Rhinolophus ferrumequinum: one gene and its partners. The protein of the gene in region 2 purifies or fractionates together with the protein of the main gene of each other region. This does not show direct contact. Links are inferred from orthologs where the notes say so. Each region holds a gene or a part of one and is shown on either strand. Other genes may lie near its edges.

Region 1 (10,896 bases), on a different chromosome or scaffold from region 2:
CAACTGAAATGCCCATTGATAGATGACTGGATTAAGAAACTGTGCTACATTTATACAATGGAGTATTACTCGGCCATAAAGAAGAATGATATCTTACCATTTGCAATGATATGGATGGACCTAGAGAATATTATGCTAAGTGAAATAAGTCAGACGGAGAAAGGCAAATACTATAGGATCTCACTTATATGTGGAACCTAAGGAACAGAATAAATGAGCAAACTAAACAGAAATAGTCTCAGAGATATAGAGAAATAACTGAGGGTTGCTAGATGGGAGGGGGTGGGGATGGGGGAGAAGGTGAGGGGATTAGAAATACAAATTGGTAGCCACAATATTGCCATGAGGAGATGAGAGACAGTTTGGGGAATATAATCAATAATGTTGTAAAGATTCCACAAGGTGTCAGATGGGCACGTGTCTTATTAGAAAGACCACTTCATGGATGGTGTAGATGCCTGACCACTGTGCTGCACACCTGAAGCTGAAGCTGAATAATACAATATGTCAACTATAATTTAATATATATAGTCACAGGATGTGGAGTACAGCATGGGGAATAGAGTCAATGGAATTATAACAACTATATATGATGTCAGAGGGGTAGTACATTGGGGTAGGGGAGTTATCACTTTTTGAGGGGTGTAAATGTCTAATTATTACATTGTTTTGTTCACCTAAAACTAATTTTTAAAAAAAGCAGCACTGTAAAAAAAAAAAAAAAAGCAGCAGTAAATGCAATAGGAAAAAAAAAAGCTGGGGAAAGGAATGGAGAGTAGTGGGAGGATGTTTTGAGATTTGAAAGCAGTGAGAGAATGATACATAAGAATAGTTGGGGAAGAGCATTCCAACAAAAGAAATCACAGGTACAAAGGAACTGGAATATACCTGATTGTTCGAAGGCCAGCAAGGAGGTCACTATGACTAGAGTATAGTAATGGAATGAAGTGGGAAACAAGGTCCTAGAGTCCTAAAGGTAAGGGTAGGGTGGGGTGGATCAAATCCTGTAGGTTCTTGTAGGACTTTGGGCTTTTACTATGAGTGAGATGGGGAGCATCCTTGGATACTTAGGTGGTTTCCAGGTTTTTGCTATTATATCATGCTTTGTGATTTTTCTATACAAATATCTGTTCATATCCCTGAGTACTTCCCTAGCAAAAATTTCTGGAAGTTAGATTCCTTGGTCACGGGTTATGAATAATTTAAGACTCTTAATGTATGTTGCTGAAAGGACCCACTCACAATGTACTTTAATTCAACAAATATTTATTGGTCACCAACTACATAGCAGACATGGTCTAGGGGCTTAAATAAATTGGTGAACAAAATTAATCTTTCATTCTAGCAATTTCACTCTCACCAGCATTGTGTCAGAGTTCTTGTCTTGTTACATACTTCCCAACATCAAGTATTACCTTTCTTAAAATGCTTTAAGAAGCCAAAGGCAAAAAGAACACTTCAGTAATTTGAATGATGAAAATGGTATTTTGCTATTATGTTCCTTTGGATTTATTTGATTACTAGGGAGGTTGAATTACTTCCCACACATTTTCTAGCTAATCAGCCAATTGTGCTATTTCTCCTTAAAAGCTCTTAAAAATCTTTGAAAATAATTTAAAGGAGGCAGGAAGTTTGGAAACATTAAAAGACTTAACGTACATATCTTGGGAAATAAGTAGTCCCCAGGTCAAATATATAGGCTTTCGAAATTGATTTGAAGCCAAAGAACATGCAACTTTCATGTTTTGAAGTGGTTTTTTTAGTCGGGAGCACCTTGCTTACTTCCAGAGAACTTGAGAACTATCATTATGGACAAGACCTTTCCACCCAATATTCTGACATGAGCCAGACTGGTGGGATGCTTTTATTCAACAATCTCAACATCGCAGTGTTACCTAAGATCCCACTTTACTTAACATCAAGTCTGGTTTTAAAGCATTTATACAAGGTCTAACAATTAATTTCATAAACTCATCCCAGAAAAAGTGCTACATCACTCATTGCTGAATATCACTACAGTCACCTTCGACGTACTCCCCTTGGGAAGCTATGCAACAACACCAGCGCCTAGTCCACCCTTCAAAACAATTTTGGGACTCTTTTTCTGGAGTGGCCATCAGAGCTGTCATCGTATTATCCTTGATGTCCTGAATGTCATCAAAATGTCTTCCTTTCAATATTTCCTTATCTTCAGGTAAAGAAAAAAGTCATTGGGGGCCAGATCAGGTGAGTAGGGAGGGTGTACCAATACAGTTATTTGTTTACTGTCTAAAAACTCCCTCACAGATAGTGCCATGTGAGCTGGTGCATTGTCGTGATGCAAAAGCCATGAATTGTTGGCGAAAAGTTCAGGTCTTTTTCATCTAACTTTTTTATGCAGCCTTTTTAGCACTTCCAAATAGTAAACTTGGTTAACTGTTTGTCCAGTTGGTACTAATTCATAATGAAAATCCCTCCAATATTAAAAAATGTTAGCAACATTGTTTTGACTCTTGATTTGAACTGACGAAACTTTTTTGGTCGTGGAAAATTGTCTGATTTCCCTTGTGCACTTTGATGCTTTGTTTCAGGGTCCTATTGCTACACCAGTGATAACATGGCCCAAAACATCACCTTGCCTCACCAAAAGGTCTTGGCAAACTTTGACTCTCCTTTGCTTTTGTTCATCAGTGAGCTCCTTTGGGATCATTTTTGCACACACCTTTCTTATGCCAAGATTTTCAAGTAAGATTTTCCTGTTTCTCTATCGATGTTTCCGTAGTCTGCTATGCTTCTCACAGTCAGCTGACAATTTTGATAAACAATTCGATGATTTTTTGCTATGTTTTTGTCAGTTCTGTTCGTTACTGGCTGCCGTGACCTCTCTTCATCAGTGACTCATTTTCTCCCCTCAGAAAAACATTTAATCCATTGGTACACTGCTGTTTTCTTCATGGCATTATTCCCATAAACTTGGACTAATATGTCCCTGATTTCACTTCCACTCTTGCCAAGTTTAGCAAGAAATTTAATGTTTGTTCATTGTTCTAATTCAAGCTCAGACATTCTCGCAACAGCACACAAAAACACACAACAACAATAATGAACGCCACTCAGCAAGACACCGCCACACGTCAACACAAACACAGCTGCGAGACACTGACATACCAAAGTTATGAAACCTTACCGAGCTGTTTGTACAGTGCTGCCAATGTAAGCACACAGTGTCAAGTTTGCGAACTTAATTGTCAGATCTCGTACAAGAGCTATCATACAGTATTTGTCTCTGTCTGACATATCCCCCACTTTTAATAGTGGTTACCTTTGAGGAGAGAGAATCAGGGGTGGGGAAAGGGGCTTTAATTTACCTTTTGTATCTTCCCATAGTTTGAATTTTTTCACCTTAAATGAATATGACTTTTAAAAAATTCCAACAGGGGTTATCTGGGTGGGAGCTAATGGCTTATTCTTATTTTTTACTTTGTATCTCTTTATTAGAAAAAAACTGATGAATCATTTATTATTTTAAGTACAGCATAGGGAAGGTAGTCAATAATATTTTTATAACTATGTATGGTGCCAGATGGATACTAGGCTTATTGGGTGGACCACATTAGAAGTTATATAAATGTCTAACCACTAAGATATATACCTGAAACGAATATAATACTGAATGTCAACTGTAATTTAAAAATACAAATAAAGAATTCCCCAGTTTTATAAGTAAAAATCTGTGTGTGTGTGTGTGTGTGTGTGTGTGTGTGTGTGTCTGTGTCTGTGTTTCATATGTCTACAGGAATATAAACCAAACTGCTAATGTGCAGGCCGGATCTAAAGATTGTTTGGAGAGTTGGGAGAGGGAGATGAGTTTCATTTTTTACTTTATACACGTACATATAAAGTTTGTTATAGTAAACATGTATTACCATTCTACATTTTTTTTCAGAAAAGGAATAATAAACCATTTTCCTCCCCGAAGTTAAAAGGGCATGTGCTTATTGTGGAAAATGTGGAAAAGAATAAAGAAGGAAGTAACAATCCCAACAGTTAACATTTTAGCATGTTTCCTTTCGTGCTACCGCTTACTCATTTTTTGTGGGGTTTTTTTTACATAGTTGAGTTCATACTGTATATAGTTTTGTATCCTGTTTTGCTGCTTAAGATTAAAACATAAATACACGTATTTTCCCATGTCATGATAATACTTGGATGACTGTATCATACACCATTTAATAGTTCTGTCACAATTGAATTCGACTAATTAGGTATTTCTTGAAATTGAACATTCATGTTATTTCCAGTTTTTCCATATTAAAAATGATTCTCTGATGAGCATCTCAGTAATAAAATTTTTGTCTGTATTTCTAAGTGTTCCCTTAGGATAGATTCCTAGAAGTGGAATTACTGGATGAAAGAGCAGACTTCTAGAGGTGGGATTAATTGATAGAAAATATTTTTATGGATAACAAAAGGTTATACCAATTTTTACTCCTCCCAACGGTATGACAAGAGTCTCACCACTCGCTTGCCAGCATTGTATACCATCCTTTTTTTTTGCTTTTATCTTTCTTATAGGAACGTTGAGCATGACAGCGGTATCTCCATTTTTTTCTTTTTTTTAATTGTTTTTTAAATTTATTGGGGTGACAATTGTTATTAAAATTACATAGATTTCAGGTGTGCAATTCTGTATCACATCATCTATAAATTACATTGTGTGTTCGCCACCCAGAGTCAGTTCTCCTTCCATCTCCATTTTTTATTGCTAGTGAGACTTAACACTTCTCATATACTTATCCACCATTAGTATCCCCTCCTCTGTGTACTACCTATTTCTATTTTTGCCCATTTATTATCTAGAGTCTTCTGGATTTTTCTTGTCAATTAAAATGAGGTCTTAAAAAATATCAACCCTTTGTCTATTATATTGGTTACAAATGAAAATATTTTTCACAAGTTTGTTGGTTTGTAAAACTGTCTTGGCCATACAATTTTTTAAAAAGATAATTAGATCCTAAGTACAGCTGATTTTGAGCCTGTTTTCCCTTGATTAAATTGAAGAAGTTTGACAAATGATCTAAAACGACCATTTCAGCTTATCGTAAATTTAGATCTGTGAAAAAAAATGCGTGGGCAGATTTAAAGATTGTTCAGCTCACATGCATTTTTAAAGGATTTAAGAAGATGGGATGGGGGCAGGGATGGAAGCTGTTTGTGCCAGAAATTTTCAGAATTCTGAAGTAAGAAGCCTGCTTGTTGGGAGGGGGAGTAAGTTATGTGCAAGCGAACAGAATTCCTCACGGAAAAGTACAGCTCTGGGCTGCAGATGTTGGCATGGCTTGGTTTTAATTATCCCCCCCCCCCACCACCTTTTCTTCGGCTCCCCTCCCCCTGCCACAATAAAGAGGCAGCCAGATTAAGACTCTAAAGGGTATAGACAGCCCTTCCTCCATAAGACCTGCTCCTGTGCAGCCGGCTAGCACACCAAAGGCTGGATGAAATACCTAGGAAAGAAAGGAACCAAATCTACTAGGATCCTTCCAAACTCCCGCCTTCGTCCGGGCTTCAGCACAGGGTTATTATGACTGCCAAGCGTCGTTCGATAGACTTCAAATAGAAAGCTGTCAAAGAAACTTTTCTCATTATTCTGAGAGGGAAAAAAAGCACAACAGAATGTTGCTTGCTGATGCGTTGGGACTGAGCAAATCAGTGATCGCAAAAGGATTTAGTTTTCTGAGAAAGAACCCATAGTAAATCGCGCAATCTGATCGTTTTCCCAGATTTGGGGGGGAGTTGTCAGATGGGGGCCTGTACACTGACTTTAGCTATCCCGGGGGTGTTCACCCCACAGCGTCTGGGGCGGGGGGAGATTGGAGAAGTGTCGTCATGAGAGCGAATAGGGGTTCCTCAGGTGAAAATGGGTAGGCTGGGTCTCAAAGGTGGAAAAAGGAGCTCGAGGAGTAAATTTCCTGTCTTCCAAGAAAGCCTGGAGGCCCTGGGGTATGGCCGGGGAAAGATGAGGCTTCGAAATTGAGGCGACGGAGAAGCCTGAAGCAAGAGAAATGGAGTCGGTGTTTGGTGGGCATGAAGTGACAGAGGGTCTCAGACAGAGCTTAGCAGAACCAAGGCTCTCCAAGGGGGTCTTTGCGCCAGGAGCAAGCGGGGTGCGGAGTAGGGCTACGCCCTGCGTCGCCGTGAGCCAGTTGGCGTGAGGATTACGTCTAGTGGGGACCTGGGCCAAGCAGGTGGAACTGAGGGGTGGACTCAGCGATCTCTCTGGCTGGAAGGCCGGATCTGGCTGGGGGAAGGGAGCTACGATCCACAGGAAGATGGGGGCCCTGGGCTGGGCGGGGCGGGACTCAGCCGGGCCGCGCGCAACAGCGGCTGCGGGAGAGGAGGGGCTGGAGGCTCCGCCCATTTTCCCCCGCCTCCTCCCCTGATTAGTCCTTGTCCGCAGATCCTCAGGCGTCACTAGCTCTCGGAGAGGGAGGAGAAAGCAGCGAGTTCCGGAGCCCTCCCCACCCAGCTCAAACCTTTGCTTCAGTGATCATGGCTGCCGAGGATGTGGTGGCGACGGGCGCTGACCCGAACGAGATGGAGGGCGGGCTGCTGAACGAGATTTTCATGTCGCCGCTCAACCTGCTGCTGCTCGGTCTCTGCATCTTCCTGCTTTACAAGATCGTGCGCGGGGACCAGCCGGCGGCCAGCAGCGACAGCGACGACGACGAGCCGCCCCCGCTGCCCCGCCTTAAGCGGCGCGACTTCACCCCTGCCGAGCTGCGGCGCTTTGACGGCGTCCAGGACCCGCGCATACTCATGGCCATCAACGGCAAGGTGTTCGATGTGACCAAAGGTCGCAAGTTCTACGGGCCCGGTATGGCGGCCCGCCCTGGGGACGCGGAGACAAAGGAAGGGGCCCCGGCACGGGGCAAAATCCGGGAGGGTTGAGGGGGGAGCAGAGCGTCCCCGGGGGGAAGAATGGCGACGAGCCAGTGAGGGCGGGCAGGCGGTGATGGCCCGACGGCTCCCACCGCGGGCAAGGGACGCTCTAGAAGGGTTGCGGGCCAGTGGGAGACGCAGATTCCCGGCCTCGCGCCGCTAACGCGGGGATAAGGGGTGGAGAGTCTGATGCCCTTAAGCCGGGGTGGGTGGATAAAATCGCGAGTCTGGAAACGTTTAGGGGGCACAGCAGAACGCAGTGTTGGGGGATTTTCGAAGGTATTAGGTTTGAGGTTGCCTGAAAGGAGGGTGCGGTGTTGGGCTGAAGAAAGGAAATGTGGGTGTCTTGAGGGAGGCATGGGTGGAGGTCTGGAGGAGGGAGATCCAGCCTTGGAGAGGACGTGAAGGCCGATGACGCCAGGAGTAGCCTTGGTCGGATGTGAGGGTGTGGGAGAAGGGATTACCAGCAGGTAGACGCATCGTGCGTGGGGGTGAATGATGTGAGTGTGCGCTCTGTGTGCATTGTCAGTGTATGTGGCTTGTCGGGCAGTGTGTGCGTGCGCGCGTGCTTGGAGTGTGGCATGTGTCAGGTATGTGTGTGGCATGTGTGTGCGCGCGCTGTGTGTGGCGGACTGGGAAAAGATGGAAGTTGAACAAGGGAGGTTCCGTAGGAGGAAGGGAGCTGGTTGAAGGAGGAATAAAGGCTGGATGTGGTGGACAATGGGAATGTAGCAACATGAGGAGGTAATATAGTAGTTTAAACTACATCAGGAGAGAAAGGACTAGAAGCCAAAAAAAAAATTAAAATGGAGGGAGGGAGAAGTGGGAGGATCCTGAGAAACAAAAGGGGTAGGACTCTGAAGGCTGCTGGGTGTGGGGATTCAGGATAATGAAATGAGGGGTGGATGGATGACTGCTGAGCTGTTGGAGGAGGCAGGCTTGAAGGTGCCTTAGTGATGTGGCTTTTTTTTAAGCCTGGTTGGATCAGAATCACCTGATGCAAATGAGTTAACCTACTGACTCTGGCCTAATCACCTTAACAACGGAAGAGTCTCTGGGGGAGATCACCTGGAATCTGCACTTTTAACATGCTTCCCCAGGCCAGGTTTGGAAAGCTCTGCTTTAAAGAGTATTTGCAGAGGAGGTGGAAGACATTTTATTTTAACTCCTCCAATATGGACTCTTCTAAAATCAGGGAGCTCAGGGAACGTTTCCACATTGACAGCGTTCTCTTCCCTGCTGCTCTGGAAGAGTATAGAAGGCAGCAATCTGGCCATTCCCACTTCTGCTTTGTCTTAGTCTCCCAGTCTGACTCAAAAAAATCAGATATGTTAAAATTTTTAAGGATCTCTCACTTAGCAGTTTTTCCTTGTGGATCATTTAATAGACCTACTTAATGCAGACATGTAACTGTCAAAATAATTTAAAAACCACACCTGTATTGTCACTTACAGCGGCACACCTAGAGGCATTATCAATAAACATAATCGTGTAAATACCTGTTATTACTGAGCTATATCATAAAGTTGTCAAAACACATGCATGAGGCATCATCATATGATTGTAGTTTGCAAAGTCATTGAGAGGAATGTAGGCCTGTGCACAGAGCACAAAACTGGGAGTCAGGCAACCTGGGTTCTAGCCCTTGTTGGATCATTGACTAGCTGTGTGACCCAGTGCAAAGCATTGTTCTCTGTGGGCCTTACCGTGTTTCCCCAAAAAAAAGGACCTAGCCAGACCATCAGTTCTAATGTGTCTTTTGGAGCAAAAATTAGTATAAGACTTGGTCTTATATTAATAAAATAAGACCGGGTATATAATACAATATAATATAATACCGGGTCTTATATTAATTTTTGCTCCAAAGGACATAGTAGAGCTGATGGTCCGGCTAGGTCTTATTTTCGGGGAAACACAGTAGTTGTCCCTCTTTAAAATCATAAGGATGGCCCACTCTTAGTCTCTCCCCTGCACTATAAGCCCGTGATACCATGAATGTATGACATCATGTGGAAAGGATACTTCATGTTACAAAGGATTCCTAAGAATTATACATTTGAGTGCCTATTCTATGCGTGGCACTTTTGTAGGTGCTGGGGCTATGGCAGTGAACAACAACAAAAAACAAATCTCGGCTCATGGAGTTTACATTCCATGGAGTGAATATTCTGGTGATAACATTTAAAAGTTGATCTTAAAGTTAATCTAATTTGAAAAAAGCCTGGTGGATTGAGGTTGCAGGTGACCAGGCCATATTGAAACTTGACCCATTTTCATACTTGACATAGTGGTTACCTACAAACTTTTTAATGTCAGGGTTGCTACTCAGTCAGCCTTTGGGGAAACACACATTGTTTAAAGTACACTGGATTCTTTTTATGTATTTGTGCAATATTTAAATAAGTATAAACATCCACTTTAAGTACCTACAGAATAAGTCACTGCTCTCTTAGACAAAAGTTCAGTATAATATATGTAATAGCATTCTAATGTTTTATAGAATTAGTTTGGGATATTGATTGAGCCTTTATTTCCCATGATAGTTTTAGGATTTTTAGTCTTCTGTTCTTCAAGGCCACCAAAAACAGTGATAGAGCTGATCTCTGTGCTATCTCTTTATTGACAGTGAAGATTATGTAACATGTGGATAGATTTCTAATACTCTTATAAAATGATTTCTCCTGCAGGTGCCACATGTTAATGTTTAATACAGTCTCACAACCAAAAATCTCTATACGATATGTTTGACTCATTAAAACATATTAGAATGCATTTAGTTCATTTACTAAAACCTTAGTGTTTATTATCTTAAGAAACCATAACTTTCCCTGGTGTAGCCCAGGTGCCCAGAACAGAGCCAGGCTTTGGGTTCAATGTCCTAAAACTGAATTCTGACCTGTGGACCCATTATTACCTGGATGGGTGCAATAGTCTTTTATGGCCTTTTTATTAGCTATTTGAAAATCACAGGAAATTAATTATAATGTATAACATTTTGATTTAGTTTTAGTTATTTAAAAGTTTGGTTTTTTTTAATTTATTGGGGTGACAATTGTTAGCAAAATTACATAGATTTCAGGTGCACAATTCTGCACCACATCATCCATAAATCACACCGTGTGTTCACCACCCAGAGTCAGCTCTCCCTCCATCACCATATATTTGATCCCCCTTACCCTCATCTCCCACTAAAAGTTTAATAACAACAGATCTTTTACTATCCACTACATAATGATTAAAGTATCAACATCACTTACGTTTTCCAAATGGAATTGGGTATTCCAAAAGAGGGCTTTCTATGTTGATGGGTAAGGAAGCCATTTTCTGTGCATGAACAACAGAGAACTTGACTGTCTAATAAAGAATTGGTCTTTGGTTTTGTTTTGTCTTTAAAAGAGGGGCCGTATGGAGTCTTTGCGGGAAGAGATGCATCCAGGGGCCTCGCCACATTTTGCCTGGATAAGGAAGCCCTGAAGGATGAGTACGATGACCTTTCTGACCTCACTCCTGCCCAGCAGGAGACCCTGAGTGACTGGGACTCTCAGTTCACTTGTAAGCATTTTTTAAAATTGTGTCTAGATCAAATTGTGACCAGTAATGGGATTCACGGCAGTCCAATAGTTATTACCAAACAGCCTGAAACTTGGGAGCACTTTCATTGGCTTCTGAATCTTAGACAGATCAAGTTCATGGTTTGAAATAGTTGCAGAAGTGCTGAGTCACTTGCCATGACTGCATACCAATTTTTAGCTCATCCTCTATGAAAACTTGGATTTGAGAGGTTTGCATAGATTCCACACTAGGATTTGGTGCTTGGTGCAAGGGGGAAAGAGAGCAGCCATTTTAGCTACAGAAAAGGGTTGTCATAAGTCCTTACTTGTAGAACTTGCCGTTTATAAGCAGCCCACATTTTTGTTGAAGAATGGGAGACTTGTATTCTACAGAACAGCTTCTCTGAATTTAATTGAGCCTAACTAT
Region 2 (10,312 bases):
GAGGGGTTCATGGGAACCTCCGATTTGTAACCAAGTCCAGCAGAAGTTGTGTGTAACTTGGGACCCGTTACTTGTGATTGGCACCTGAAGGTGGGGGGAGTCTCTTGGGACTGAGTTCTTCCTCTGTGTGATCTGATGCTGTCTCCAGGTAGGTAGTATCAGAATGGAGTTAAGTTGTAGGACATCCAGTGGGCGTCAGAGAATTGCTTTCTGGGGGAAATCCCCCGCACATTTGGTGTAGGAAGTGTGAGTGTGGTAGTAGTGTGAGAGTACAGGAGAAACATGGAATAGTGTAGGTTTTCTCTTTACAGGTATAGACATTAATTTCTATTTTTCTTTTTAAAAATGTGTTGACAGTTGTATTTTTCAGTGTTTCATAGTTCACTTAATTATTTTGATTTTCAAATGGCTGGGCCCTCCCCCAGAGATTCTGATGAAATGTTCTGTGGGCATAGCTTGGGTACTGGGGTTTTAAAAGCTAATGTACAAAAAAGCCTTGCAATGTAAAACATGGAGACCAAGGCTAGCAAACAGAAAAGAAAAAAGCAACTTAGAGGAAACAGGGAAAAGTTTAGATTAAAAAATCTTAACCTGAAAGTATGAGAATAGCAGTTTGGTGGAGTGAGGTCAGCAAATTCTCTCTCCAGAAAACAATTATAAAACTGGAGAAAATAATTTTTAAACAGGGCTCTGGAAATCGACCAAAAGCAAATGAGAAATTGAGAAGCACTTATCCATGAATAACTGCTGAAATCTGGGTGAGAACAGTAAGGATCTGTGGCATTTTTGCCTGGGGCTGCTCACAGTCCCCTAGCTTGGTCAGCAGGATAAGCTGCACCGGGACAGGGCAGGCTGCAAAAGCCAATGGCTTCACTGCCAGAGGGAGCTCCCTGGATTTGGAACAAACCACAGTGAGATATCACACTACACACCCACTAGAATGGCTGTAATCAAAAGGACAGACAATAGCAATTGTTGGTGATGATGTGGAGAAACTGAAACCCTCTTCCAGGGGAATGTAAAATAAAGCAGCCACTTTGTTCTCAAAAAGTTAAACTTACCCTACAAGTCAGCAATTCTATCTTGATGTACTACCCAAACAAAATGGAAATATGTCCACATAAAGACTTGTGTACAGGGGCCGGTCTGGTGGCTTAGGCAGTTGGAGCTCTGTTCTCCTAACTCTGAAGGCTGCTGGTTTGATTCCCACATGGGCCAGTGGGCTGTCAACAAGGTTGCCAGTTCGACTCCTCAAGTCCCACAAGAGATGGTGGGCTATGCCCCCTGCAACTAAGACTGAACACAGCACCTTGAGCTGAGCTGCCGCTGAGCTCCCAGATGGCTCAGTTGGTTGGAGCGCATCCTCTCTACCACAAGGTTGCTGGTTCGACTCCCGCAAGGGATGCTGGGCTGCGCCCCCTGCAACTAACAACCGCAACTGGACCTGGAGCTGAGCTGAGCCCTACACAACTAAGATTGAAAGGACAACTTGACTTGGAAAAAATCCTGGAAGTACACACTGTTCCCCAATAAAGTCCTGTCCCCTTCCCCAATTAAAAAAAAAAAAAAAAGGACTCGTGTACAAATGTTCATAGTATCATTACTTATTATAGCTGAAACCTGGAAACAATCTAAATGTCCATCAGCTGTTCAATGGATAAACAAAATGTGGTATACCCATGTGTGGGGGTCCAGAATGAGCCACCCCAAGAAGTGCCTCAGTGGTATACAGAGTACTTTGAGCTAAAGGCAATTTTAGCTTCAGTCTCAGAAACTTCTGCCCCTCTCTTTTAACTACCTAGAAGAATTTGAATTAGAGGCCTTGTCCATAAGCGATTATCAGAAATAACTTCTTTTGACCTATCTATAGGGCAGGGCAGACTTCTATTTATTGAGTGCCTGCTCTTATCATCCTGCAATGACCCTTTGAGGTCCGGAAGGCACCTTACATCATCCCTTGCTCAGGGTATCTTATGTATCTCAATCTCCCTTTCTATCTCTGAACCTCTCCTGTATATGGGGCTCCTATACATATGTGTGCTTTAAATTTTATTTTCTCTTGCTAATTTGTCTCATGTCTATTTGATTATTAGACCAGCTGATAGAACCTTGAGGGTAGAGGATAGTTTGTGCCTCCCCCACACATGCAATGGAATATTGTTCAGCAATAAAAAGAAATGAATTCCTGATACATGCTACAACATGAATCAACTGCAAAAACATTATGCTAAGTAAAAGAAATCAAATAGACCACATATTGTATGATTCCATTTATATGAAATAAAGAAAAGGGAAATCAATAGACGGAGAAAGCAGTTCAATGGTTGCCTGAGGTTGGCTAAGAGTTGACTGCAAATGGGTACACAGGAACTTTTGGGTGATGGAAATATTCTAAAATTGGATTGTGATAATGGTTGCACAATTCTATAAATTTACTAAAAAGTATTGAATCTTACTTACAGTAGGCAAACTTTATGGTATGTAAATTATATTTCAATAAGGTTTAAAAAAATGATGTAAGGTGTTAAACAAAAAACATTTCATGGCCAAAATCTTTTCTGAAGGAAGGGGTTTATTGAGCCAAAACACTAGTCAGAAAAGGACCAGGTCCTGCGCATGCACTCTGAATCACCAACAGCAGGGCCAGACGGAGAAGGCAAGATGTCTACAATCCTGGGGTAGATGGGCTTTTATGGAAACAGTTTGGGGAAGAAACATGTATGTTGTTTTGAAAGAATTTACATTGGCTTTAGATAAAAAGAGTGGGAGATGGTGACGCGGGAAGAGTTCTGGGTTAGGTGCAGAATCTGTAAGGAAGACATGTTTGCTCCTTTAGACTGATGGTGGGCAACAGTCCAGAAGGTGTAAGCAAGAAGTACTGGTGACTGGACATTCTCTTTAGATAATTGTACAAATAGTCACCTGGAAGTTAATTCAGTTTCAACATATACTCAGGAATGTAAGCAGTTTTGTTGGTTTTGCCCTGCAGTTGTTATTTGATTAATCGCTCTTGTCTCTTCCTTCCACCCTTTAGTGTGCTGTAATTTAATTTAGGACATTTCAGAATTTTCTCCTTGTCAGAGGGCAGAATACAGACAATTTTAGATGTGCAAGATTTCAAAAAAACTAGTACACAGTCTTTCTCAGGAAGCAGCCGGAGGACGTAACTACCAACTGAGGTAGTAGACCTCGAAAAAGGTTATTAAAGGAAAATTAAAACATATGTTTATACAAAGAGTGGTACACCATGTGTATGGCAGGTTTATATCATATAACCAAAAATTGGGTGCAGCCGGGTGTCTATTACCTGATGAATGGATAAGCGAACTGTGGCACATTCATAGGATAGAATATTACTCAGGAATTAAAAGCACAAATGATTCAAAAGCAACAAATGGCATACTTGTACAACAGAATGTTACTCAGGAATTAAAAGCATTCAATGTTAACATAGATGAGGATCTGAAAGGTGTTGCAGTTTCTTTCCCTTCACTGGATCTTCAATGGCACCTTTGTTAAGCTCAACAAAACTTCAGTTAACATGCTGGGGGCGTGGAACAATATATTGCATGGGGGTACCCAAATCTGAGGTCAGAAATGAATGGATCTATAAGTGTGGTTATGGCAAAATCAACAGGAAGTGAATTGCCCTGAGATAACACTTAGACTGTTCCGTCTCATGGTAAATATGGCATCATCTGCATGGAGGATTTGATTCATGAGATCCATACCGTTGAAAAACCTTCAACTTCCTGCGGCCTGCAAATTATCTTTTCCAGGAGAAACCGGATCGACAGGTTTATTAGAAGGATGAACTGAGATGATTACCATGATTATTTTTGTAATTTGGTCAGTTAATAAACAGTGACTGCTTTCAAATTGAGAGGAGAGGAGAGGAGAGGAGAGGAGAGGAGAGGAGAGGAGAGGAGAGGAGAGGAGAGGAGAGGAGAGGAGAGGAGAGGAGAGGAGAGGAGAGGAGAGGAGAGGAGAGGAGAGGAGAGGAGAGGAGAGGAGAGGAGAGGAGAGGAGAGGAGAGGAGAAAGGAGAGGGGAAGGGAGGAGCGGGGAGGAGAGGAAGGAAGGAAGGAAAGGAAATCTTATTTCTGTCCTTGGAAGTTTGTCCTTGGCTTCCGCCTTTGAAACATTATGCTTTAGCTGAAAAATCCCTGGCAGGATCCTTTGCAGGTCTTCCAGTCCTGCACTGTCTTGAGCCTGCTGTGTCTTGAGCCCAGACCCAGGATCCCCAGGACCAGCCAAGCATGAATTCCCTCTTTTTGGGGGCTCCACACTTCACCTCCCATCACTTAGGCTCACACTCTTTTTTTTTTTTTTAAACTTTTATTTATTTGTGTTTTTCCAGGACCCATCAGCTCCAGTAGCTGTTTCAATCTAGTTGTGGAGGACACAGCTCACAGTGGCCCATATGGGGATCAAACCGGCAACCTTGTTGTTAAGAGCACTGGGCTCTAACCAACTGAGCTATGCGGCCGCCCTAGGCTCACACTCTTAGTGTTGGCTTTGGTTGCTCTTTCCCTAGCCCCTGAATGCAATGGACCGTTCTTTAGCATCGACAGTTAATGCTTTTGTTTCCATAAACCTACCATTTCCTAATCCTGCACTTTAATCAACTGCAAAAAGTGGCTTCCTACCCAGCTTCACAGCTGCTAGTCTGTCTCTCTTTCAGACCTCCCTGAAATAATATTAAAATAATAATTCAAAAACAATCTAAATTGTGATCCAAATCTAAAAACTCTCCCTACAAATCCTTGGCTAGGCCTTCAAGGTCTGCTCCTAACCAGCTCTGGAGCTGACTTTCCTGAGCACCTTTCTCCAGTTCAAACACTTCCATACATGGTGTTCCCAAACACACGATACCCATTTTCCTGCCTTTCCATATGCTGTTCCCTCATCTAAAGAAGCCTTCCTCCAACTCTCCACCTATAGAAATCCTGCGTATCCTGCCAAGCCCAGCTCAAGTCTTACCTATTTCCCTGTCCATTCCAGGTGAAAAGCAGTTCCTCGCAACTCAAAACCCCACCAAATTCTGTTTAGTACCACCATCTTTTAGCATATACCTTTGCTGGAGTAGCTGTTTTGCTCACATACAGTTTCTGTAACTACATTTTAAGCTCCTTGTTTGGAACATGTGGCATCCAGAATACTATGCTGCCTTGAATATCCACTTCCCCGAGTAAACAAGAAAGCAAAACTCCCTTACGCAAATTTGGGGGCTGGGAGTTTAAGAATATTAAACTCAAGTAAACATGCAAACACCACACTCTAACACCTCTTTTCCCCTACTAGGTGGCATGAGGGAATAAAGCTTGTTCTAAGATAGGTAATACACCTATTGATTCTAGTTTTTTCCATTCTAGGAATCAGCCTCTGGGTATCCAAACAAATGGAAGGCAGAGACCAGGACCCATAAAGGTCTAAGAAAACCTTAGGCTACTTCCATTTCCTGAGGCGGCATATTGACCAGTGAAGATGCGCTAAAAGTGGGCTTCAAAAATTGTGTGTTTGAAATCTTTTACCATTGCACCATCCTTTTCTCTCAATCCTGTCGGGTGTCTGTTGTACTAATTGTACTTCAGGAAACATCACAAATTGAAAGTTGAAAAAAACCTTGCATTACAGCATTCTGGACTCTAGTTTTCCATGGGTAAAGTGGAGGCCGCACTCTGCTAGGCCCAGAGCGATGACTCTGCAGGAACGGTGACGCGTGGTTACACAGCGCTGTGCAGGCAACTGCAGGCCGTGCGGAAGGAGCCGGTGCGGGTTCCGCCTGCACCCTGTCCGGGCCTCGCACTCGCTGCAAGGGGAAATGGCCCTTCCCGATGGTCCGCCAGACCGCCCACTCCTTCAGCCGCTTGCCATTTGCCCCCACAGCGAGGGGAACGGCATGCCGGTCCTGGGGCCCGGATCCAGGAACCGAAGGGTCGAAACTACCTTCGGTTGAAACGCCCGGCAGTCTGCCCATTAAGACACCAGGGCAACGGGGCGCGGGAACGCCTGCCGGGCGGGCCCCGCCCCAGGGCGCGCGCCCACGGTTCCCAATCGGCCGTGGCCCGCCCCTTCCCCTCCCGCCCAACCAACAGCCACTTCCTGTCTCACTCCCAGCCAACCCCCACACTCCACGAAGAATAGCCCTAGGGGGCGTATGGGAAGGTGATTAGAGCGATGGCCACACTGACCAACCGCATTCCGGAGCTGGCGCGGTGGGGGCGGAACTTGGCACTAGCCGTAGCTACTCAGGAGCGAGGGGAGGACGTGGGGCCGGGTTTCGTGCGGCGGTGCTCGCTCGCGAGGTGCAGCGGCAGCCTAGGCCTCTTGGTTCTGCGGCACGTGACGGTCGTGCCGCCTCTGCTGCTGTCTCTCCTGCAGCGTGGGGCCAGGTGTGCGGGCAGGAGGAAGTGCGGGCGCCGCCGGCGGTCTCGGGGAGGCTCGAGGTGAGACTGGAGGCCTACGGGTGTCTTAGGGCCTGTGAAGACCCCGGGGGCCTTGGTGCGCGGCCCCGCGGCCGAGGGGTCGGGCGTGGCCGGGGCGGAGGGGTCGGGCTGGGTTTCGAGGGCTCAGGCCCGGCCCGACGCTCGGCTCCGGCCGTGTGGGGCGAGCCTGAACCTGGGCCGCCTTGGTTGGGGAGCCAGGCGCAGGCCGCGCCGCTGGGGTTGGGAGGCGTGGCAGGTGCCCTGAAGCCTACCTCGACCTCAGCGAAAACCAGCTTCTTTCTATGGCTTTGCTTCCAGGGCTTTCTCAGGCCTTTTGCTGGCTGCCTGAGAAGCCTCGAGGTGGGCTGGAGTAACCGGCTATAGATCTGGAGTGGGATCGGGCTTAGTCACTACCCTTAGTACTGGGAAAGGTGATATCGGACCGACAGACAATATTTAGGACTAGTGTTACAGGTTCAATATTTGAAAATAAAACCGCAGGGCGAAGACTGGCTCCTAGCACCCTGAAGAGAATGTGCTAGAACACGCAGTGGTTGAAAAACTTGTCTTAACATTTTTACCTGTTAGGGGGTGGGGTGTAATCCAATCGCAAATTCACCGGACATTAAAAGCAGGGAAGCACCCAAAAGCTCACTGTGGGCAGGTCGTTTGATAGTGGAGGAACAGGCAGGCCCGAAGCCATGAAATGACTGGCCCAAGGTCATGCAGTTAATTTTATGATCACATTGGGATTATAGTTGAGGGCTAGGCAGTTTTGGTATTAAGGTTAAGGCCCTGTTGCATGGCCTTCATCAGCCGTTTGTTGCTGTGTGAACTTGGGCAATTTACTTACCTTTTGTACCACGTTTCTCCCCAAGTGATGGGTATACTAATACCTGTTGGAGTTATTAGAATTAAATTAAGATGTGTATAAAATAGGACAAAGATGTCTGATACATACTAACTACACAGCAAATTACTGCAATAAATTATAGTCTGATGCTGTTGGTCCTCCACACTGACAGACATCCTACTCTTAAAGTTGGTTAAGTCCTGTTTCCCAGGGCCTGCAGTCATATTTATGGCAATGAGAGGAAAAAACTGGACCTAGTGGATCAACTGCTAAGCATGACACTGAATGCTGGTTGAGGGAAGTTAAACTGAGCTGAATATTAAAAGCTTAGGAGGACAAAGGTGAGCCACAGTTAAGTCTCATTTAGGAAATGGAACATTTTGCTTGATATTTTTAATAAGTAAAAGTTTTTTTTTAAAGGGAAGAATTCTGTTGATATTTAAAACCGTTCTGTAGCTTAGTCTTTTTCCAGCAGTGTCTGAGGGTCATGAATAGAATCACTGCCATGTTGTACATACGTTATAATTATACTTAGAGCAGAGGTAAAGAACCGTGGGAGTTCTGTGCTCCAACCCCGGTGCACAAGCAAACAAGCCGGGTAACGATCATAGAAAGGCTAGGGTGAACTGCACTGGAGTGAATGTATCCTGCAGCAAACATTTTCTGACCTGTTTGAAAATGGGTGTCAGCATCCCTCTACACCTGACTATCTTATCTTAACTCAACAGTTTCAACTAGCACATTATCTTCAAGGACCACGAGCGGTAAACGTTTTGACAAGTTGTTGCTGCAGTTTTGGCAATCAGGCTATTGCATCCTTTTTGTTACAGAGTTCACTATGCCCCGCAAATAGCTTAAAGGGATGAAGTGACAGTTGGTAAGCATCAGTGCATGCTCAAGAGACTTGTATTCCAGGCCCAGCATGGGTAACTAGCTTATGAAATACTTCGGTTAAACATCTTTAAAATGGAAATGAGAAGTCTTCTGTCTACCTTACCATTAGGGGGCTATTGGGAGGGACAGCTAGGATGACGAACATGAAATTACTTTGAATAGTGTAATGAACTGTGCAAACAGAACTGGCAGCTCAGAACAATTCCTAGGAAATACTAAAAGTGCCTGAACAGAGTTGTAAACTATGTGTAGCTTGCTGTTGAACTTTGTCAGGAAAGTGCTGGTTAAATGCTTTGTTTACTGCAACATAATGTACTTTTAAATTAAGCTTAATACTGAGCTATGAAAAGTATTTGGAGAATTTTGTTTTCTAAAGAATTTAGACGATCTTCAGTATATTTTGAGTGTTCACATCTTAAAGCTATGTATTTTATAACGAAAAAGAATGTACTATGGAAAAATCAATTCTCATGTCTGAAAAACAAAATTCAAAACTAAAGGTAGTATGAATCTCTTTTTAAATGGATGAGCATTTACAATAAAGACCACTTGGAATTTTATATACTTTTTCCCCTTTAAGTGCTTTTGTTTTTTGACTAGCACGTGGTAAAATCAGAAGGCACAAAAGGGTAGTAAAAGTAAAACAGTTTATCTGTGACCGGAATCAGATGTCTTTTAACTGCTTCCTTTCTAGTCTAAGATTGAACAATTTTTTATTTGCCTTAAAACTCTAGAGCTTTAGAACCATTAAAATTTAAATGGCATCCCTTGGCAACCATAGTAATAGAGCTCACTGCTGGTACTGAGCATATGCTGTAAGCTGGGCACTTTCGTAAGTGCCTCCCATGCATTTTGTTTATACCACAACCCGAAGAAGTATACAGTGATGTTATTCTCATTTTAGAGTTGAAGACATTGAGGCCCTGAAATGAATAATTCACCCAATATGCCAAGTCACTACCTAAGGAGTTGATGAGTTCCTGCTCATAAACAATACTGTGTGTCTAACCTGTGTCCTTGGACAGTTTGTGTGACTTCTCTTAGTCTTAAATTCGTCCTGTGTCACATGGGGATGATAGAACCTCCTGGGATTTTCGTGAGGATTAAATCAGACAACCTAAGGTATTTAAACCCAGAAAGACTTTAAAAAGATGAATGGGTAGCCTACATGAAAGACTGCCTCCTCACCTTTTGTTACACACTTCCTTTAAAAAAAAAAAAAATCACCTTTTTTTTTTAAAAAAAAACAAACAAGAACATTAGCTAGGCCATTTCTTCTGTTCCTCTTTCTAATTTTTCATAGATTGAAGGAATTAAAGTTGGAATTTATTAACAGAGTCCCACAAGGAAAAGCCCAGAGCCAAATGGCTTCACTGGTGAATTCTACCAAATACTTAGGGAAGAATTAACACCAATCCTTCACAGACTTCCAAAAAAGAACAAAAAAAGAACAGGGAGAACATTTCCCTGCTCATTCTGTGAGGCCAATGATTACCCCGATACCAAAGCCAGATAGACTTCACAAGAAAAGAAAGCCAAAGCCATAGACCAATATCTCATGAAAATAGATGCAAAAGTAGACACAAAGATAAAATACAAACATTTTTATTTAATAAACTTAAAAATAATCTGAACCTCCATTTGTTTTAAAGATCTCTTTCTTTAACAATTTAACAGAATTGTTTTTTGCTTTAATAGGCCCCTTCAATAAGGGACCCTTAATTGAGGATAAAGCTTCTGCCTTTGAAGGTGACAAATTTAATATTTCTTTAGTGTTTGCCCATTCCTAAAGTTGATCTAAGTAGTTGTCTGAATTTGCTAAAATTTGATGCAGAATGTGTCTGTTTCTGTTAAATAGAATATTTTGTGTTCAATTGAAGTTTCATGTACATTATTAAATGTGTATAGTAAATTAATATGGACTGTCTTTTTTAGAATGTGTGCTGCGAACAGAATTATTAACCAAAAATAAATTTAGGAGAATTCATAAAGAAAAGTAATTTGTGACAAAGCGGCGGGCGGGGGGGGGGATCGATAAACATGGACATTTCCATATCCAAATGTTAAGATTGTATGTGCACTATTGCAAGGAAGAGTTAAAGAAGAAATCCCATAATGTAATTGCAGGAAAGCGAGTT
Region 3 (10,920 bases), on a different chromosome or scaffold from region 2:
TGCCCTCCGTGGTGGAGGGGCACTCCTGAGGGTCCCAGCCTGAACCTGCACCCTTTACCCCCCAGATCTCCTTCTTCTCGTTGCTGTCGGTGCTGTGTGTCATGCTGAGCATGGCCGGCTCTGTTCTGTCCTGTAAGAATGCCCAGCTGGCCCGAGACTTCCGAGACTGCTCCATGGTGAGATCTGAGGAGGGCGAGCCGAGAGAAGTAGTTGGGGGAGCTGTGTGGGACGCCTGGGTGTGCCCTGACTCAGACTGCCTCACCGTCCCCACTTCCACTCAGGAAGGAAAGGTGTGTGTGTGCTGCCCCTCCGTTACCCTCCTCCGGCCCTGTCAGGGCTCAGGGCAGGAACTGAAAGTTGCCCCTAACTCCACCTGTGATGAAGCCCGAGGGGCCCTCAAGGTGAGCACGCACGCACACCTGCACCATTCTTCCTTCCCCATGCATCCCCTCCTGGGGTCTTCACAGGCCGAACCTGTGGGATTTACCCCTCCCCTCTCACATCCCCCTTCCTTCCCCAGAACCTGCTCTTCAGTGTCTGTGGGCTCACCATTTGTGCCGCCATAATCTGTACCCTCTCAGCTATTGTCTGCTGCATCCAAATCTTCTCCCTGGACCTTGTGCACACGGTGAGGGGGGGCCAGGGTCAGTGCCAAGCAGGTATGATGGGGGCGGGGACTCCGGTCGAGGGGATGTAGCTAAAGCGCGGGCCACCTATGAGGCATGTCAATTATTGGAGGGATGCTTGGGTGACCAAAGAGGGGGTCGAGGAGGGGAATGACAGGGAGTGAAAGAAGTATGTCATGCCAGTCTGGGGCCAGGGGAGGGGCCTTAGAGAGTGAGACTGGAAGTTGGGCGGAGTCAAGAAGGTCCTCGATGGGGGTGGGGATAAAGGGTTGATGTTCTGGAGGTGACAGAAAGTACGTGGTGATTCTGGGTGCAGACCGGGTCATAAAGGAGTCGTTTCTAGATGGGCAGGGCCAGAGCTGGAGGTCCTTGGTGGGGGCAGGGTTAGAGGAGGAGCTTGTTCCGGCTGAGGGAGGGGCCCAAACTGAGCTTCTTGGAGGGGGTGGGGCCAGAAAAAGGTAGATAAGAGAGGAGTTTGGGAGCCAGAGTTGTGTTCCCAGAAACCAGGCTTGCTGACCTGCTTGCTCCCCAGCAGCTGGCTCCTGAGCGCTCAGTCTCAGGCCCCCTGGGGCCTCTGGCCTGTACGTCCTCGCCCCCAGCCCCTCTCCTGCACACCATGCTGGACTTGGAGGAATTTGTACCGCCTGTACCCCCACCTCCCTACTATCCCCCAGAGTACACCTGCAGCTCAGAAACAGATGCACAGAGGTGAGGCCTGCTGGACCCTGCTGAGGGAGCTACGGCAGGGGGAGGGGGCGGGGCTGCAGCCTGGGATGGTGGGGAGGGTCTTTGTGGAGCAGGAGCTCTCCAGGCTTTGACCCTCTCCCCTCTCCTGCCAGTATCACCTACAATGGCTCCATGGACAGCCCAGTGCCCTCGTACCCTACTGATTGCCCCCCTTCTTATGAGGCCGTCATGGGGCTACGAGGAGACAGCCAGGTAAGAGCACGGCTTGGTATGGGCGAGGGAGCCAGGGCTAGAGCCCAGAAAGCTGAGTGAGTTGGCCACAGTCACTGGATACAGATAATAGTTCTCACGATCCTATAACACTAGTGCACCACTTTGATCTTCCCTAGAGCGCAGTGAGGTGCGTGGGGTAGGAACTATTATTTCTATTTTACACATGTGGGAACTGAGGCCCTCATGAGTGACTTGTGCAAAGGGACACAGCTAGACTGCACTCCAGGCCCCCAGTGCGCTGTCCAGCACATGGGGGTGCCGTGTCAGTGTGTGGGGCTGGACTCTTGACTCTTGTGCCTTCTGCAGGCCACTCTGTTTGACCCTCAGCTTCATGACAGTTCCTGCATCTGCGAGAGAGTGGCCTCCATTGTAGATGGTGAGCAGAAAGTGGTGGGTGGGGGCACACACAAGGGCCGGCCGCCTAGGATAGCAGAGCTGGGGAAGGAGCAAAAAAGGGGGAGAGGAGGCTGAGTTGGTGGTGTAGGGACAAGCGAGGGCGGTGGCTTCTTGGAACCCTGGACTTACCTGTCTCTTTTGAGATAAAACTGGAGGCAGCGTGGCCCCCCAGAGGCTGGGCCGGAGAAGAACTGCCCAGGCCGGGTGGGGCTGGTGCTACCCAGCGCCCCCTGCCGCCCACAGTGTCCATGGACAGCGGGTCTCTGGTGCTGTCAGCCATCGGCGACCTCCCGGGGGGCTCCAGCCCGTCCGAGGACTCCTGCCTGCTGGAGCTGCAGGGCTCCGTACGCTCCGTGGACTACGTGCTCTTCCGCTCCATTCAGCGTAGCCGCGCGGGTTACTGCCTCAGCCTGGACTGCGGCCTGCGCGGCCCCTTTGAGGACAGCCCGCTGCCCCGACGGCCGCCGCGGGCCGCCCGCTCCTATTCCTGCTCTGCCCCGGAAGCCCCACCCCCGCTGGGTGCCCCAACAGCCGCCCGCAGCTGTCACCGGCTGGAGGGCTGGCCGCCCTGGGCGGGACCCTGCTTCCCGGAGCTGAGGCGCCGGGTCCCCCGGGGAGGCAGCAGGCCAGCTGCAGCCCCTCCCACCCGAGCCCCCACCCGCCGCTTCAGCGATAGCTCAGGTTCCCTCACCCCACCGGGGCACCGGCCTCCTCATCCGGCTCCCCCTTCCCCGCTGCTGCTGCCACGGTCCCACAGTGACCCCGGCATCACCACCTCCAGCGACACCGGTGAGCAGCCCCCCCACCCCGCCCCACCGAGGTTCAGGAGGGTAGGTACTGGGAGGTGGAGGGCCAGTGCTGCCAGAGATCTGGGACACTGTCGAGGTCCCCGAGGAGAAAGGGTGAGTCGCCCCTGCGGCAGACACTTCTCGAGTGTTCACCTCCTAGAAAAAACAACATCAGTATAGCTTTGTGGCTAAAGGGAGCAGGATTTGTTCTTTGAAACCCAATTCTATAGCTCCCACCTGGGCCATTTACGAAGCCTCAATTTCTCACCTGTAAAACAGGTGTCACAATGGTACCCCAACCATAGGTACGGTAGAGTTACTGAGAAATGAGATAACGCGAGGAAAATGCTTAGCCTTGGCCCAGGACGTGCTCACTACCCCCATGTGTGCCCGCCCGCCCCGGGGAGGTAGCCACTGTGAAGGATGCCGCCCCTGTCCCTTTGTCGGTGAACTAACTGTCCCATCTCAGAGCAGAGGGGATGGGGCGTGGGACCTGTGAAAGCGCCTGTGGGCTTGAATCCTCACAGGAGGGTGGTGGGCTGCGTGGGCGTGTCCCCTGAGCATGTCCACTAGGTCCATTTCTCTCCCCAGCTGACTTCAGGGACCTTTATACCAAAGTGCTTGAGGAAGAAGTTGCTTCTGTTTCCTCTGCAGATACAGGTCAGCCATGTGGTCCGTGCCCAGGGGTCGGGGCAAGGCGTGCTGCCTGGCACTCTCCGCACGTGTATCCCTGTCCCTTTCCACCCACAACCTCTCTCTCTCTCTCTGCAGGGCTCTGCTCTGACGCCTGCCTCTTCCGGCTAGCCCGATGCCCATCCCCCAAGCTGCTGCGTGCCCACTCAGCCGAGAAACGGCGCCCTGTGCCCACCTTCCAGAAGGTCCCCCTGCCCTCGGGCCCTGCACCCGCCCACTCCCTGGGGGACCTGAAGGGCAGCTGGCCAGGCCGGGGCCTGGTCACTCGTTTCCTCCAGATGTCCAGGAAGGCCCCAGAGCCCAGTGGGAATGGAGCCCACGGGCATAAGCAGGTAGGCATTAGGGGAGCCTGGGAGGATACCCAGGAAAGCCTGGAGCTGCCGGTTGGGTTGGGCCACACTGATGCCCACTCCTGTGTCCCTTCAGGTGCCCCGGAGCCCGTGGGGCCGGCCAGGCCGAGAGAGCCTCCACCTTCGAAGCTGTGGCGATCTGAGCTCCGGCTCCTCCTTGCGGCGCCTCCTGTCTGGCCGCCGGCTGGAGCGTGGTACCCGACCCCACAGCCTCAGCCTCAATGGGGGCAACCGGGAGACTGGGCTGTGACCTGGGCTTCTTGCCACACTGAACAGATGAATACTGGGGCCGTGGGCACCAGCTGGTTGGGACCAGCAGCCCCCAGCATTCCCTTGCACTGGCTGGCACAAAAAGAAATCCGCTCAACACCCCCCAAAAGAATCCCTTTCCCTCCTACCTCTGGGGGCTCCTGCTGCTTGCCTCTGTTCCTCTGGCCTGGGAGAGCTTCTGTCCTGTGGTGCATGGGTGTTCAGGCTGTGGGGGAGATGCCCCTGCTTACAGCACTGGAGGAGGAAAAGTCCTGACCCCCCAGCACGAGAGTAGCTCTCTTTGATTTGCCAGGGCAACTATGGCCGGACAAGGCATGTCCCGGGTGTCTAAGCATAGGGGGCTGTGTGTCTGCGCAATTGGGTGGTGAGGCATGAAGTCATAAAAATCTGGCTGGCCTCTCAGCTCTGCCACCTCTAGCTGCATGACCTTGGGCAAGTTATTTAACCTCCATTGCCTGACCTGTAAAATATGGTGAGGACAAATGTTTCTAAAGCTAAGAAGCCTTCACACACTAAGCCTTCAATAAATTTCAGTTTTCCCCTTCTCTTCTGGATCATGCTTTATCACCAATGAAATTTGTTCTAGCATCTCTCCTAGTTAAGAAAACTCTGCCAAAACTCGTACATTTCTTTCCAGCTGCCACACTGTATCTCTCCTCCTTTTCATAGAAAAAGGTTTTCTTCCTTCCCTGAACTTACCCCCACAGCTGCTGACTCTACCTCTCCTCAGGCGCTACTCTGACAATTTTCAGTAACCAAAAGATACCAGACCCAGTGAAATGACCGTTTCTCTACCTGCATCTCACTTGACCTCTAAGAAGCATTTACTCAGAAAATCTGCGTCTTTCCTCTTGACTTTTTCCCTTTCTAGTCTTTGAAGACATATTCTCTTTTTCCTCCTACTTTACCCTTTCGTTATCCTTTGCGATTTTTATACCTTACTGGACTGCTTAACTCTGGCAGGCCCCAGGGCTCTCCCCTCGGCCCTTTTCTACTTCCACTCTGTCTGTTGCTGTCTCTACCAAAACCCACGGGCTCCACGGCTTTAAATACCAGCTATGTGTTCACGAAGAACTCCCTCCTTGACCTCTCCATGCGCTCCAACCTCCAACTCGAATCTCTCCTGGGATGTCTAAGGGCATCTCAGCCTCAACGTGGTCACAACTGAACTCTTGATTCCCACCTCCAGAACCTGTTCCTCTTGCAACGGTTCCTTCTCAACAAGTGGCGCCGCCACTCACACAGCTGCACATTCCAGAAGCTTGGGACTCATCCTGATTTCTTTGCCCTCAAGCAACACATCCGATCCTATCCTGAATTCATCCATGTCTCACCAGCTACCCAGCTCAAGCTACCAGCCTCTAAATGGATCTATTTCCATTCTAACAATCCATTCTCCACTCGGCAAAATGATAAGAAATCATGTCACATCAAGGTTCCGCCCAAATCTGATGGCTTCCCATTGTATTTAGAATAATCTCCAAACTCCTCCTGAGACGATGGTCAGCGCCTTTTCGCCAGCTCTTTCCCAAGCACTCAACGCGCTCTCCTGTGGCCACTGCCTTTACCTAATTCGGGTCTTAGTTCCATTCTCACCTTCTCACTGAGCATCCCCACACCCCCACCCCAGTCATTCTCTCACACTGCCACAGTGTTTGGGGGCACTTAGCACTATCTAAAATTACCTTGCTTTCGTCTGTGTGATCCCATGGAACGTAAGCTCCTGAGAGCAAGGACTGGCTCACTGCCCTGGGTCTAACACTTAGTAGGTCCTCAACAAGCTCAAGTTACTTAAGTAACAGAGTGGGGCCTGGAAAGCTTCCCGACCCTATGATATTGGCGACAGCCGCGTGCCCCGCAGGGAAGGAAGGGAGGAAGGAGGGGCGCTGTCCACAGATGGCGGCAGGCTGCGAGGCTTCTTGAATAATTCACCATCATAACAACCCCGCCCCAGGGAGGGTTGGGGTGCGGCCTGGATGACAAAATGAGGTAGGAGCGACTAGAAATTGGTGCTCCCAAAGGGACAGCTTCTGGGCACTGAATGTTCTCTATCCTGAGGTTCTCGAAGGAGGAAGCTCAAGAATCCCGCTCAACTTCCGGGGGCTGGACTCACTGAGGGAATTCAGTCTCCCCCCGCCCAGGACAGCGTGCTGGCGGGTGTGCGCCAAGGCGCACGCGCGCTTCCCGCCGCCCAGCAGACCCCCGAATACGCTTGCGCCGCATCTGGGCTACGGCTGGTCAACGAGAACCGTTCGGCCCCAGGAAGACCAGTAGGGAGCGCGGAAGGGGCCCGGTCCCGCCCCGCCCCGCCCCCTGCGCGTCTCGCGGACGCGCGTCTTGGGGGCGCAGCCTCTCGGGCGCGGGCTCGGCGGAGCCCCCTTCTCCAGCCCCTCCCCCCCGGCTTTGCGGGGCTGCAGTGGGATTTCCCTTCGCCTCCGGATGGGGTTGCTGTTTCGCTTCGCCCACGGTAGGCGCGCTGGATGTAGCACCGTTTGCGTCTTAACTCTCCCCTCCCTGCGTTTGCACTTCTCCTTTTCGTCATCATTGCTATTATTTGTAGGGATGGTCGTAATTTAGTAATGAAGAAGAAGGGACCGAATCTTCGAATCCTCCTCTTGTTTTTTGAGGGGTGGAGTGGGAATAAGGTCTGTGTAATTGATGTATTCTTCAGTCATTCGACACACGTTCAGTGGGGCCCTGGACCAGCGCCCCGCGCGCCCCGGGGATACGCCTGGGAGCCAGGACAGACTGGTCCGTACCCTCCTGGGCTTACGCACCGACCCAACAGCAGGCAAACGAGTTAGCAGGCCACTGGGCGCCGTAACTGACATTAAGCCACTTGTACAATTAATTCATTGTGATAAGAGCTACAAAGGAGACGTAAGGGCTATGAGCTTGTGTTACAGGAGAGGTGTGTGTGGAGGGAGAGAATCTTTTGGAGAAAATGACGTCTGAAGTGAGTTCTGAAAGATGAATAGGCATTAACTAGGCTGAATGGAGGTGAACAGGAATGCATACGGAAGGAAGACCCTTTGCGAGGACTCAGGGTCGAAGGATGGAGAACAAGGGGTCAAGTCCTGTGGCCAAGGGGACAAGTCCTGTGGCAGGTTCCAACTGGCAGCTGGTCTCCCTGTCTTGGCACTTGCCCCTTACAGTCTGATTTCTACACAGCAGCCAAAATGACCTTTTAAAAATATAAATCTGATCTTTTCACTTCCCTGCACCAAACTCTCCAGTGGATTTCCATCTTAGAACAAAATTCAGATTCCTTGGCCACCAGGGCCCTGCAGAAGCTGGCCCCTGGCCTCCTTCTCTAAAGTCATGTCTTACAATTATCCCCCTCACTGGTTCTATCCAGCACGCCTTACCCCTTTATTTTGCTTCCTAGTTCTCATGGCCACATGAGTTTGCCTGGTTTTGTGTCTACCAGCTTCTAGGACATAAGCTCCAAACAGCTAGGAGCTTCATCATCGTATTTGTTGCGGTAGCCCCAGGATCTAGAACAGTGCCCGGCACGTAGTAGACGCCCGTTATTTGTTGACTGTATGAGTTGGGGAGCTCATTGAAGGGGTGCCTAATCCAGCCAGCGGTGTCAGGAAAATGGTACTAATGGCAATAATGGTAAGGCTGAGGCATTCGTGATGGAAAAGAGGAGTTACTCATTTTTTTCAAGAGAGAAAAAGAAAGGACGGGTGGCGTAGAGGAGAGCAGAGGCAAGGTGGAACGCAGCCTATGAAAGGAAATGGGACGCAGCCCAGTGGACCATATGTGCAAATGGAGGGGTGAGACGTGAAGGTGGGACAAAGATCCCCGAAGCCCTCTTCAGGGCAGAGTGGAACCCACTGAAGGAGTGGAGGATGGAGAGTGTAGCTTCGGAATTTATATTTTAATTAGACCATCTAGTTCTTCTTGGAGGATGGATTGGAGGAGAAAAGGGGAGGTTAGGAGGCCAAGAGAGAGGCTTCTGTAGTTCAGGAGAGAAATGATGGGGCGAGGGGGACAGGGGTTACAGTCAGGAAGGAGCCCCAGGTTCCGGGAGGAAGGGCTTCCATTCCTGGGGAAAGAACACAGGAGGAAGAGCGGGCTTGGCTGGGTGAGGGGACGATCTCATGATGGGCCTGCTGAGGTGTATGGGAGACACACAGAGGAAAGGTCTGGAAGGCAGAGTTCTCACGGCCCCATGAGATTGCATTCCACCGCAGGAGAAAGATTGGGGTTGGAGGTGGAGATTTGGGAACCAAAAGCGACTAGTAGGTAATCAAAGCCATGGGGTTGTCTCTTCGGAGTGGGCGTGATTTACGAGAAGAGAAGGCCGAGGATAAAACCTCAAAGAACACCTGCAGGCAGAAAGAGGCGGGGAAGCCTGCAAAGGAGAAGGAGCAGCCAGAAGTGGGGGCGACATCCAACCAGGAGAGGGCAGAGTCATGGGAACAAAGGAGAGCACTTCAAGAAGGGAGGGGTCCTGTGTCAAGTGAGGTAAAAAGTCAGGTGAGAGCGGTTTTGGAGCCGGGAGGGCGGAGTTGGCCTTTGGAGAAGAGGAAGTCTGAGAGAGGACTCGTCGAGTGTAGCAATTCGGTCCAGAAGTTTGGCATGAACAATAACATTACATGCAGTGTTGCATTAAATCCTCCTAACAACCCTTGAGGCAAGAGTTTTGGAGATGAGGAAACACGCTCAAGAAGTCAAGTAACTTCCCAGTATCTCAGAGGTAGGGAGTCATGGAGCGAGGATTTAAATTGTGAAATCCCTCCGGTGTCCATGCTAAAACACCCTTCCCCGTGTCTTCTCCTTTAGGGGACAGGAGAGAAAGGGTGGCGGCCAGAGGAAACAAGAAATGAGGTAGAGGTCTTGGACACACGTCTCCTTTGACTACCGGAGGGAAGAAATAAAGGCTGAATAACTATAACGGTTATACTTCCTGTCTGTCCCCTCAGGCTCAGAACAGTGGGAATGTGCCAGCAGGTCCTGGGTGTTCAGTATTTGAAGCCGTCCTTCCGGTAGCCTGAACCAAGCCCCCTCCACTGGGTCTCTCTCTGACCCTAATAATCATGTTCAGAGTTAGGTTCGTTCTTTCTGAAGTTCATTCTCCTTCAAACCACACCAAGGACGCCCCTGAAACACCCGACAGGCAGGGCCTTGCATAGCGGACTGTGATTGATAACAACCTACTTATTCAGCAAACACTGAGCCCCGAGTCTGTGCTCTCCTCTGAGTGGAATGTTTTGAGGTTCCAAAGAAATAGGACCCATGAAATTTACTCTGCACGTGTTTATCACATTAAGGAAGGCTAAAAATATGCTACTGAAATATCGGGGAGCATATTTCTTGGACTCTTTCAGGGAGCATATTTCAGGGAGCATTCTTGGACATAACGACTAAGAGTGGCTTGGGCTTCAGCGTAGGACGGATCTGAATTTAGGCTTCGCTCTGCCACTTACCTACCTTCTGTTGGTCTCAGTCTTCTCATCTGTAACGTGGGCCCGTCGGGCCAATGCATGTAATAGGCACTCACGAAAGATTGGCTATTATCTTGAGAAAAAAATACAGGATAGCGCGTGAGGTTCAAGTCCTTTCCGTTTGCACTGGGCTTTACCGGGAATGCCGTGGTTATTGTTTAAGAGTTGGTTAATCAAACTATTGTAATCATCGTGTAGTGTATACATTTTCTTAAACTGGCACGATGTTATATGTCAATTACATCTCAATGAAGCTGGGGGAAAACAGAGTTGGTTAATCACATGGATGCAAGAGGGAAGCCATACCCTAGTCAGGGGCAGACAGGGTCTTACTGGAGAAAGGAGTCATTTTGGGGACCAGTCATCAGGAGGAGTGGGGTATCTTCAGATCAGAAACCAGAGCTGAAAGGTCAGGTCGTGGGTTGATTGGTTTATTCATTCATCCATCTGGTATTTTTTGAGCATCTACTATTCTGTGCATGGAATGAGAAAGTGTCTCTCTTTGATTTGACCTTGGAGGTGACAGTGGGACTTGGGGGAGGGGGTGGGCGTCCTCTTTAGGGAGTTGGTTTGAGGCTTAAAGAGCAAGGAGCGTATGACATGGAACCTAACCAGTCTCCAGGGCTGGAGTTTGCTGTCAGAGCCAAGCCGCAGCCTGGCACAGGGCTGGCCCAAGTGGAATCAGAACTCCACTGCTGGGTCAGCCAAACTATTTTTGCACTTCTGCTCTTCGCTTATGTTCATTTCTCAGTTGTCCATCCATGGCATTTAGCTACATCTTTTAAGAAGGGGACAGAGGAACACAGTATGGCCACCTGGTACACCCCTAGTGGACACTGCACTGAGTCCCAGGCGTTTGAGGTGACTCCCTAGGGCAGTGGTCGCCCCCTAGGGGACATTTTGGGAACTTGCGTCTTTAGTGGAGACCACCCTTAAGAGGCACTTGGAGGATTTAATGGAGCCCAGGAAAAGGTAGACGTTCTAGAACATGCAGGACAGCCCTGCACAAGGAAGAATGGTCTCTCATTCTCCTTGACTTTGGACATTTCTGCTCAACAACATATGCAAATATAAAATCAAATATAAATCAGCCGGACTTTATTATGTAATAATGCAGAAAAGATTTACAAGAACTTTTCTTCTGGAAAAAGTCCAATAATTTAGAAGATCATTGTGGAGAAGGAAGCTTGAATAAAAGGCATTGCCTTGAAATCACTGCATCTGCCTACTCAGTGTATTAGAGCATTTCCAACTATGGAATATATTTAGTTGAATATTTTCAACACTGTAGTTGCAGTTCCTGCAAAAGCAATGAACCAACTGCAAATATGTCATAAAATTTTTACTAGCTTAATTGAGGTGAAATTTACAGACTATAAAA

What was found.
Region 1: the proteins of CANX (region 2) and PGRMC1 purify together in Homo sapiens (affinity purification with mass spectrometry; 3 studies listed by BioGRID and IntAct, with this or other methods). This does not show direct contact. The link is inferred for Rhinolophus ferrumequinum from reciprocal best matches to the Homo sapiens genes CANX and PGRMC1.
Region 3: the proteins of CANX (region 2) and GBA1 purify together in Homo sapiens (affinity purification with mass spectrometry; 3 studies listed by BioGRID and IntAct, with this or other methods). This does not show direct contact. The link is inferred for Rhinolophus ferrumequinum from reciprocal best matches to the Homo sapiens genes CANX and GBA1.

What each region holds. Positions count from the first base shown.
Region 1 is NC_046284.1:37,651,290-37,662,185, reverse strand, and holds the start of PGRMC1 (membrane-associated progesterone receptor component 1), read left to right. Parts: upstream 1-6,428; 5' UTR 6,429-6,528; coding exon 6,529-6,853; intron 6,854-10,314; coding exon 10,315-10,470; intron 10,471-10,896. UniProt on the Homo sapiens protein: Component of a progesterone-binding protein complex. Binds progesterone. Has many reported cellular functions (heme homeostasis, interaction with CYPs). Required for the maintenance of uterine histoarchitecture and normal female reproductive lifespan.
Region 2 is NC_046307.1:2,865,569-2,875,880, forward strand, and holds the start of CANX (calnexin), read left to right. Parts: upstream 1-6,264; 5' UTR 6,265-6,448; intron 6,449-9,166; exon of another isoform or gene 9,167-9,296; intron 9,297-10,312. Other genes in the region: CBY3 (protein chibby homolog 3), read right to left, coding at 5,680-5,979. UniProt on the Homo sapiens protein: Calcium-binding protein that interacts with newly synthesized monoglucosylated glycoproteins in the endoplasmic reticulum. It may act in assisting protein assembly and/or in the retention within the ER of unassembled protein subunits.
Region 3 is NC_046305.1:267,508-278,427, reverse strand, and holds the start of GBA1 (lysosomal acid glucosylceramidase), read left to right. Parts: upstream 1-6,452; 5' UTR 6,453-6,522; coding exon of another isoform or gene 6,523-6,550; intron 6,551-10,920. Other genes in the region: protein ENTREP3, read left to right, coding at 66-176, 282-401, 521-628, 1,159-1,334, 1,466-1,565, 1,893-1,962, 2,226-2,771, 3,362-3,430 and 2 more. UniProt on the Homo sapiens protein: Glucosylceramidase that catalyzes, within the lysosomal compartment, the hydrolysis of glucosylceramides/GlcCers (such as beta-D-glucosyl-(1<->1')-N-acylsphing-4-enine) into free ceramides (such as N-acylsphing-4-enine) and glucose.